Linked DNA regions of Caenorhabditis elegans. The protein of the gene in region 2 interacts with the protein of the main gene of each other region in a pairwise test. Each region holds a gene or a part of one and is shown on either strand. Other genes may lie near its edges.

Evidence for each region. Proteins that work in one complex are often made in the same cells at the same time.
Region 1: the proteins of tag-343 (region 2) and nlp-1 interact in a two-hybrid assay, tested with the Caenorhabditis elegans proteins (one large-scale study listed by BioGRID).

The regions. Positions count from the first base shown.
Region 1 is NC_003284.9:3,724,709-3,729,316, forward strand, and holds nlp-1 (Neuropeptide-like protein 1), read left to right. Parts: upstream 1-2,865; 5' UTR 2,866-2,884; coding exon 2,885-3,001; intron 3,002-3,047; coding exon 3,048-3,245; intron 3,246-3,310; coding exon 3,311-3,469; intron 3,470-3,521; coding exon 3,522-3,578; 3' UTR 3,579-3,738; downstream 3,739-4,608. UniProt on the Caenorhabditis elegans protein: In AWC olfactory sensory neurons, required for the detection of preferred food sources.
Region 2 is NC_003284.9:16,670,748-16,676,649, reverse strand, and holds the start of tag-343 (RNA polymerase II-associated factor 1 homolog), read left to right. Parts: upstream 1-1,917; coding exon 1,918-1,999; intron 2,000-2,045; coding exon 2,046-2,185; intron 2,186-2,227; coding exon 2,228-2,337; intron 2,338-3,374; coding exon 3,375-3,507; intron 3,508-3,549; coding exon 3,550-3,709; intron 3,710-4,005; coding exon 4,006-4,088; intron 4,089-4,853; coding exon 4,854-4,963; intron 4,964-5,042; coding exon 5,043-5,429; intron 5,430-5,902.

The DNA of each region.
Region 1 (4,608 bases), about 13 Mb from region 2:
AAAATTCAAAGTATTCACAAAATAGTAAAAGAAAACCTTCAAAATTTGAACATTTTTCCAAAATTTTAAGTGGAACATAATTCACTTGAAAAATAGCTCTACTCAACAATTTATATAGAAATAAAATAGCTAGTACACTACTTTGTTCTAGCAAATTGTTCCATTAAACTTTCTACTTTCAAAATTCAAACTTCCAAAGTTTGAAGCGATGTGTTGCTATTTTTCCCACGTTTCTTATATCACCACCCCCTTCCTTAATTCACCAACCCACAATTTCAAACTCATGACTAATCATCACGATTTTGTGCGATATTGTGTAAAAAAACTGCAATCAGCTTCTTTTATCTGAATTTGGATTCTTCAAAGTGTCTTTAATTTTCCTATCACGTCATGAATATCCATTTTCTTTTTTATCAAAGACGATGTGCCACTACTGCCGAGTTGTGCTCACTGCAATTTTCTAACTTTTTACTTTTTACTTTTTACTTTTCACTTTTTTACTCGAGCTCTAGTTCTTCTTTCATCAAAATATTCGAATGTCCGGGAGGGATCTATCAGTCACGAGGTGGACTTTGACACCTTTAATAATGTGGTTTTCGTTCTTCCTGATGGAGTGCTTGCTGGTTTTGACAGCAACTTTTTGGAACCTATTTCATTTTGTTGCGCGTTTAGTTTAAGGATGACGATTTCTGTCTGAATTTATTACAATTATCTGATCTAGTGGCACAAACTCCGGGAGATCAAACACACACAATAGAGAAGATTAACTCATCAGTTTTTGTGTGCCCCCCGTCCCTTCAAAGCTTTATTCCAGCTTTGTTTTATCCAACATTATTCACAAGTGCCAGCCTCTAATATTCTTCATTTCTGATTCTCATCTCTATTAGCCAATTTTGTTTGACTCACACGTCATTTGATCCATTAGCCAAGTTGCCACCTCAAAGGACATTTCATTGGATTAGCCATAATGAATAATCTCCCAAAAAACTTTAATGCTCCTCCTCACATCATCTCAGTCTCTGTGCCATGATTGTTTTCTTCTATCAGTTGTCTATTGCTGCTAGCCTGGAGAAGGTGTGTTTGATTTGTTCTATAATATGGGAACGGAAATCAATTACATTACTCTCCTCCTGTTTGTATTATATCCAATCATTTTCTATATTACTGCTACAATTTTGGGTCACTGACTCATTGCTGAATGTGATAGCTTAAACACGTGACACCTTTCTTGGTGAATCCACCACAATTTTTCTTCAAATCTATGTTGAGTAATCGGATTAATCTATTACTCGGTTTTGAATGCTATGTTTTACATTTTTTACTATGGTGCAAAAATTACCAAATTTCATAGAAAAAGTGTTTTGAAAAATTTTTATTGACAGTCGGAAATACTCAGTTTTTTTTCCATTTTTTGAAAAAAAAAACTATAGCCATGTTGCATATTCAAATCCCTACAATGTTTTAATATTATTACTTGAAACATACGTAGATCATAAAATTCAAAAGAAATTTTTTTTGATTTTTATTTGGCGACTTCCAAAAAATGGCAAATATCTTTTTTTTTAACTTTTCGAAAAAATAATTTGAAATTTTTAAATTTTGAAAAATTGAAAACTATAATACTTTGTACTAACCTAGCCATGAAAAATTGAATGTTGCACATTTTGACTTGCTACTTTCCTCCATTCAATATTCATCTGAATTCAAAATAGTAAAGCATGCAATTTTGGAATTTTAGACTGGTAAATGATGCCGCTCTCAAGAATTGTCTACTCAAAGGATCCAGGAAGAAAAATAAGAAATACCCTTAATTATTAACCGGATTTGGTCTTTGGGAAGATCACACTTTCTTTGTGACAACCTATGTAAAAATTCCAATTAGTTTCATCTTCTTCACTCATATTCAAGTATTCCCAAAGCGCGAAATAAGCGAATGATCAATTGTTTTTTGTTACTCATGTTATTCTAAGTATTACTCATTTATTCATGATCATTAAGAGTCATAATTGTAATAGAGCACTTTTGAATGAAAATCGTGATTTGAGATGTCAAAAATACACTTTTTCACCTCCCTCGATAATTTCTATAATTTTTCACTACACGTCATTTCCCACTTCCGCTCATATCATTAGAAAACCAAGCGGAGACAATGACTTGGCGATATTAGCATATCCCTTAGTTACAAATTCCAAGTTCCATGATTTCACACATATTTATAAATTCTGATTTCGAATTCAATGAGTCCCGAATAATCCGGCATTTGAAACATTGTGCTCCACCCTTTGTTTACATATTCATTTCTTTCTAGCTCCATTTTTTGTGGCCTGTGTGGCAGAATTGTGCGTACCCAGAGCATTTTGGATAAGGTGCAACAAATCAAACATCAACCTTTCAAAACCCCTTAATCCTGTTTTTGATTACAACACAAGTCTCGAAAGTGTTGTTAGCTCAACCTTTCGCCCAATCTCATCCCATAAAACATATAACTTTTGGTATACATTTGATTGGCTTTGGCAATTCCCGGAAGAAAACGCTTTCAGACTTTTGATTCTTACCGTATTACGTTCAATGTTTTTCTTTCCGGAAGTGTTTAAATTTTTTCCTCTGTCCCATTTTCGTCATGCACGAACACCAAGAAACCGTAGTTCAGTTGTTCAGTTTTGTCTTGCATTTCCCAACGGCCCTATATTTTCAAAAAAAAAGGTTATTTCTTAGAAACCACTCAAAAGTCCAGCCCATTTTTTCTCCTCTAAAATTGCAAAAAATTGTCAATTTCTCAACACTCATAAGCCCCGCCTTCCACGATTTCGCATGGTTTTATGTTTTCCCTAAATTGTACTTTTCATATATTTCCTGACATTTCAGACATCAACTTGAGGCAACGATGAAAGCCACATTCGTGCTGGCATGTCTTCTTGTGATAGCTGCTGTTTCCCATGCCGATCTCCTACCAAAACGAATGGACGCAAATGCTTTCCGCATGTCGTTTGGCAAACGTAGCGTAAGTTTGACTTTTTTTTGAAACATTTCATGAAAATTAGCTTCAGGTATCCAATCCAGCAGAGGCAAAACGAATGGATCCAAACGCTTTCAGAATGTCCTTCGGGAAACGATCAGCCGAGCAGAATGAGCAAGCTAATAAGGAAGACAAAGCGACATCCGACAAGCTCTACGACGACACCAAATTTGAGGAGATGAAGCGCATGGACGCCAACGCTTTTCGCATGTCGTTTGGAAAACGCTCGGTACGTTGTCGTCGTCTTTCATTGCGACCCTAATTAGTGCTGGTGTCTAGTTGCTCTTTTTCCAGGATGCTCATCAAGCCGCCGATGATCAGGTCGAGTACGTGAATGATGACTTTTCACTCCCTGAGCAAAAACGTATGGATGCCAATGCGTTCCGCATGTCGTTTGGAAAACGAGTCAACTTGGATCCAAACAGCTTTCGAATGAGCTTTGGAAAGAGAAGTGTACGCAGAATCCGATCATCAACATTCCCCTAATATTCCATTTTTTTTTCAGACAGTCGGGTACAACTTGGACGCTCGGAACTACTTTGTCGGATTGGGACGTCGTTAAACTCCAGCGAACATCAAGCTACTTTCATCCCAATTGCTTCTTCTTAGTCCCAAATATGATAACACTCTTTCCATAAAATCGTTTTTGTGCAATAAATTGATTGTATGGGAAATACATCGAAGATCTTTTAGCTAATAAAATGTTACAAAAATTGCCGTTCAATAAGCTTATAGACCTTTCCAAAGAATACAATTATCAGTAAATGTTCCGCAACTGATGCTCCAAAACTGGATTTTAGGATTATAACGAAAACTTCTGACTGGCTCAGGTATCATGCTGCCGCTACAATTTTTTGCATTGTTCTCTAACATAAGACTAATGTCTGATATCTTGGTGAATATTAGACCTGTGAGAAAATAATTTAAAGCCATTCAAATTATGCTAAAAATGAACAAGTATCCCAACAAAATTTAATTTTGGAAATATTTTTTTCTTGTAAAAAAAATGGTCGACCTGATTTGCGCATTTTTTTGAGAAATCTGAATCACTGCCAAATATTCTAACCCTGCAATGTTTCAGTATGAATATTACACACTTCATTAATTGAACCCAAAACTGGACGAAATTTCGATTTTTTGAACGAAGACTTTAAAAAATTTTAGCAAATTCAGTTTTAACCAATTTTGACTAAAAACATTTTTCAAAATTTTTATTAATTTGGTCAATATAGGAATTTTTTTTAATATTATTTTCTCACATGCCGTAGTCCACTTTTAATCAGAATATCCACAGCAAAAAAGCATCTTCCTAACAGGATTAGTTATCAGCTGATATGCCGACGTGCACTTTGACAAAAAGTCAAGAAGTGACGATAGTGATAAAACACAAATGTAGGTCAATATGGTCACGACTGGAATGTGAAACATTATAGGGACAGAGTGTGTTAAGTTATGAAATTTTCCGTTTCCTCCGAATTTGATAACTGCGTTTATGTCGATCAACTCTGCGTCACTTTAGGGGGAGGACACAATTGAAATTCATTAATGGAATTTTTGATAAGAAACATGAGAGCCAAGTGTGATAACACCGT
Region 2 (5,902 bases):
TGGCCGATAATCCTGTCGTGGATTGCTCCACTTCCCAATAGAGGCTGGGTAAACCTAGGGGGTGAGGCCGGACTTGAACTCGTGACCTCCAGACTGCTAGCGGCCACCACTACCGACTGAGCTATCTGCCCCCTCGCATTTAACTAAAATGCAAATATGCTCACTGGTGTGAGTGTCTAAACAATAAGTTTATTCATAACTGTGAAAAAGATAACCTCCGTGAAAAATTTTCTATATCCTACATACAATAGTTTTTTTTTTAATTTATTATCGTTTTCGAGCTAGTAGTCAATTTTTCAGTTATTTGGCTGAGTGTCCACCATAATATTTTTTCAAAAGTTTTTGAGTTTGTAACTATAATTATTAAACAAGTCTTGCAGAACATTCTTAACAAGCTGTACTTCACACTTTATTGCTTTCACTGTACCGTTTCACCATTCAATTTGGGAAGCGTTCGATCAAAAAGTGGTGACAAGGACACCCATACATGTACACCTTATACACTGCAATGGCGTAATAATTATATGAATCGTGTAGCTGCTGGAGGTTATCGAACAAAAAAAACAGGTTTCAATCCTACTACCAAATATGATATGTTCTCTTCTCCTCTATTATCACTATTATCACCCATCATCATGTATCATTTTTCTCACTTTTACGTCAAGACCATAACCGATTTATGACTTCTCAACGCTGATTTACAGCCAACCTAACGGAAAGTATTCGGCTATAAAATGATCAGGTATGTGTGTACGTGTGTTGACAGGAATGAGTTATCAGTGTGGTGGAATTCGCAGTGAGGAATACAATACAAACATGGTTAAATCGAAAATTTCCTGGAATTTTAGTGCTAGCTGAAGATGTTTTAAGTGCCCTAACATACAGTTTCGCAACAGGTCTTTGATTCTGATCTAGTACCGTTATACTTAAAAACATAAGCGGTAGAATAGGAATAAAATAATTATCATTGGTTTTGATGATAAGAACAGTTTTTGTTTCTTTGCGTGTGCACTTTCACAGCTCGGCAACCCCACATTTGTGACTCAACGTGTTTGTGCAAAATGAAATGTTCGATTTTTTCTACATTAGTTTTTTTTTGAAACTTTAAAATATGTTCTTTCTAACTGACGTTGAGATTAGTTCATCCCCTTTTTAACTGACGACTCAATTTATAAAATAATAACTTGCATCACCATATTATCTCTGCATAATTAAAAATGTTTCTTTTATAATAGTTTTAGTGCAGGTTTTCAGTTCTTTAGAGAATATCATCACAATTTAATTAGGTATCCCAGAATTTGCGTTAGAAAAGGAAATATAATTATTAGGAGAAAAATAGATTTTTCAAAACTTCAAGTAAGGTCGTTTGACGGCGACAATCCTTTTTCTCAATTTTTCAGCAGATTTGTTGCAGATTTTTAGTACTTTCTGAAAATAATTTTAAGATCTCAGCCAGATTTAGTATTATGGCAAATATTATTTTTTGGCGATTTTTTAAAATTTTCTCAAAATTCAAACGTAGAAATTATATTTTTCTCCGATGTTTCAAAAAAGTTTTTTTAAAACAATTTGTTTTCATCTTTTCTCGAATGTTTTTTGTAGTGTTGTTGACAATATATAAGTTATCCGAATGCTCTCTTGTTAAATTAATAAGTGCAGGGTAAAAAACTGCTTATTTCAAGGGTTAAATTTTGTGTTCTGGTTAATAGTATTTTAAACCCTACAATTTCTTTTTGCCCTATTCAAAAACTATTGCAGTTCAAATCGAAACCTTACACTTCATGAAAGTTTAACTAAACTGCGATGACCAAAACAAACATTTTGCATATTATACATTTTGTACGCCGCAACACATCCCAACTCAAATAACTGATCAAAACTTGTAGAGCACTTTCCGATACTCCTCTGCTCGAGGACATGATCTCCCCAGACTCGAAATTTGTGGGTGAAGCTCTCGAACAGAAGGATGTTAGGACTGTATTTGTCTCGGCGAAGGAAGGTTGGAGTCTTAATTATCTTGAGAATTTTACTGTTTTTTTTTTCAGACAACGAAGAACGCGAAAACCGGGTAGTCTTATTGTTAGGACCAACAAGTTCTCAAAAGTCAGAACTTATCGATTTTTTGTGTAATTATTTTTATGGAGTGGATTCAATGGATCAAAGGAGATTTCACATTTCCAATGAAGTATTACAATTGTAATATGAAAAAGTAAGTATTGAATTGCAGAAATTCAACTCGGAAACTCCTACAAAACCTGTACAGTGCTATATTTTTAACGAAACAAAAATGTCGGTTCGTCCTGTAATTCTGGATATGATCGCGTGTGGAGATACATAGTAGGTTTTTTTTTCAAAATTGGGAAAAAATCATAAAAGTTGCAAATTCCAATGAGCATAATAAATTATTCTTAGAATTAATGTTAAAACAAGAAATAGGATATCTACCGACTTTGGGTTTCTGGTACAAATTAAAATTAAATTAAAACTAAATTGGCCAAAACTTTACCATTTTCTTGAAACTTAGAGCAGTGTCAAATGTTCAAACCCAGTTATGTATTTAATGTACTATTGAATGTAGGCTCTTATTGGGAACAAAAGGACCGTCCCTCTAAGTCCCTCATAGCAGTCATAATCAAATGTACAATTTTGCTGTGGCGATGGAGAGGTCCATGTCATTTAACCACTGTCTTCTACCATTAGGCCAACAACAGGTCGTAAAATCTCGACTTGTTATCTGGTCGTAAATCAAAGTAAATGTAAACAGGACTAAAAAGAACTCTTCTTGTTTTATAAGGTGTTCAATAGTTTTTGGGGTTTCTAGGGACCTTACTTTTAGATTTCTATAGGTTTTGAATTCATTATTTCGAAATTATATGATTTAAATTATCGGCAACTCTTCTGTTCAAAATTCTAAAATTGCAAAAATTTTAATTGTTGAAGATTTCATAATAGGAGCATAGCTTACGTTTTGCATTTTCTCAGCCATTTTTTTGTGTGTTTTTTAACACTTTATTGAAAATCTTATACTATTTTGTTTTTTTTTAAATACGTGATAATCATTTTATTCCTTCCAGATAAATGATCCTAGTAGTTTAAATAGCCGTACGACGGGTGTTTCTTTTTACAAATTTAGCCAGAACTTGTAAAATCCTCCTCTGTTAGGAGCTTTTATGATGATAATATCTGTCTACTTTGGTTAATCTACTAAATTAAAAAAAATACATAATGTATTTCAATTGTTTATTGCAATGTATTTCAAAATTTTTTAACCACTAACTTTACGAAAAATGCAGAAAACTCTTAAGACAGTAATTTTTACAGTACAAAAAATATACAACTTGGATTAAAAAAATACAATAATAATTAAATTTCAGTGATGGTTTCGATTCGCCATCTTTAATACATAAATGGCTTCTTAACAATTGGAAGATGAGACTGGACGTTATTGCAATTGTGTTCTCACAGTTGCACAGAATGAGCATGCACGAAGAAGACGAACTGCAACAGGTATCTAGAACTTGACTTCAGATCCTACTTTCACATTTCCAGGTTCTCTCCAATCTTCCAGAACATGTACGCAACAGTATTGTTGTGTTCATCACAGCGTCCGACGGCTCCAGAACTTTCGAGCCTCTTTTACGAAGATTCGGTTTATCAGAGTGTCCCAAGTTCACTATCAACACGTCTTGTACATTTCAAAAACAAATGGGTGAGTGTGATTGAAATTTTTGTATTGATTCAGCGTTTGCATAGCTTTCTCGCGCCGTGTTAAAAGTTGTAAACAGACCGAATAGTTTTTGGCATTGAGTGCTCTCGATAAGAATTATCACTTTCCATCTCTCTCCATTTTTCGCCCTCTTTTCTCGTAAAACGTGACGACCATTTAAATCAAACATTTTCGGGCTGGCGAATCGCTAGAAAAATAAACTGCCAATCCGGCGATATTTGTTTTTTCCTGTACCTACCAGTGTGGGAATTGCAAAGAAAACGTTCTAATAATTTCAGAAGATCGGCTGAATGACGAACATCGGAGGAGATATTGGAAAATGTCTGTAAATCAATTCGATTCTTTCATGGAGAAAGTACAGGTACTTTTCAATGGCACTTTTTTGCCTAAATAGGAGATATTTACAATTTGGACCTGGTATCTTTTGAAGGCTTGAAATTGTTTGATTTCTCAGCCAGCTAATTGTTCAAAACTTTCAACTGATATGTAGTTGATAATTTGTAAACAAAAGTGGAGTATAGAAACGTTTTTGTATTGCCTCAAAATACTCATAATAGCTCCCAAAACCTATCGTGATGAAACATTGCAAAAAAATTCACAACTCTTTTTAACTTAAAGGTGGAATAGCGCCAGTGGGGATTTTGTCTAAATGTACTTAAAATTACCCGAAACAACCGAATATCATAATAATACACTCCAAAAATTTTAGGTTTTTCGTAATTTTCAGTCAAAGTTTTGGCAAGTTGTCAAAATTTTCAAAAATACGAGCTTTTGAGGAAATCCAAAGCAATTCCGCATGTTTCGACACCTCCGATGCTTTCATACAAAAAATTTAAACAAAATTAAAACATAAAAAATGTCGAAAAAAAATTTTTTTTTGGTCGACTTCCAAAAATATGAATGGCAAAAACTGAGTAATTTCCACTCTTTGACAGTACATAAAAAATTTTCAAAAAATGTTTGAAAAGTTTTATCATGATATTTGGTCATTTTGGGACCAAAGGAGTGGTTTTTAACAATTTCCAAACAATATTTACTTTGTGGATAGTGGTACATTTTCAGCCAAGAAGTATTGCAATTTTGGTGTCTAAAAACTACTAAACTTAAGAAAATTTTTAAATTTCAGGAAACCACCCCAATCACAATCTCGGGTCTCCCATTTGTGGATGATGGTATCTATGGAGTTCAGGAGTCTGGACAAAACTCGTCAAGAAGCAGTGTTTACTCCTCTAGCAAGTAGGTTGCAGTTCTTTTTTTTTCATTCCATTACATTTCCGCTTTCATAAACTAACACTCATTCTCACTCTATTATTAGATCCACAGTTATCGAAGTGGAGCAAAGCTCGAGGCAACAACAAGTTGGCCGACCGACGGAATCACCACCTCTACCACCTCCCCCACTTCCACTATCCAATCCACCTGCCAAACCAACACCCCCACCTCCACCACCAAAGCCGACAATTCGTCCGCCACCTATTCCGGCATCTCCGCCTCCAAGACCGCCGGCAAGTGAGCCTGTTGGCATACCGCTGTACAGTGAGAAGCAGCATCAACAACAACTTCGTCCAACGACGGCCGTCTCGCCGCCAAAGCCTCCAAGTTTCGCGCCGCCTGTACCGCCTGCTGCTGCTCTAATCACTGACACTTCGACCACCACAAACGCTCTAACAAACGCCATGTTCGAACAATTGAAGCAGTCTAGGTATTTAAAAAAAAAAAACTTTATCAGTATACATATAGACCGTACTAGAATTAACTAACAATGACTTTTTTGTTTTGAATGAAAAAACTTAAACTTTCCACTCAAACATTGAAAAGAAGATAGTAATTTTGTTGCTTTCAAGCTTCTATCGTGGGTTTGAAGCTCAAATGCATGTAGAGAAAAATGAGAAAAATCAAAATAAAGAATTATCAAAACAGAAATATTAACTAACAATTAAAGATTGTAGTAAAATTAAAAAAAATAAACAATTTTTAAAAATTTTTTACTAGCTAGCCACAAAGTAGACAAACAATTACGATAGTTTTCTGTATACTAATTTGAGTACACTGCATATAAACACAGTAAAAAATGCACAAACCTGCAAGAAAAAATACATTTAAAAATTTACAAAAAAAACCGCTTTGAATTCGAAAATAATTACCTGCCCTCAAACTATTCAATAATTATTTTGA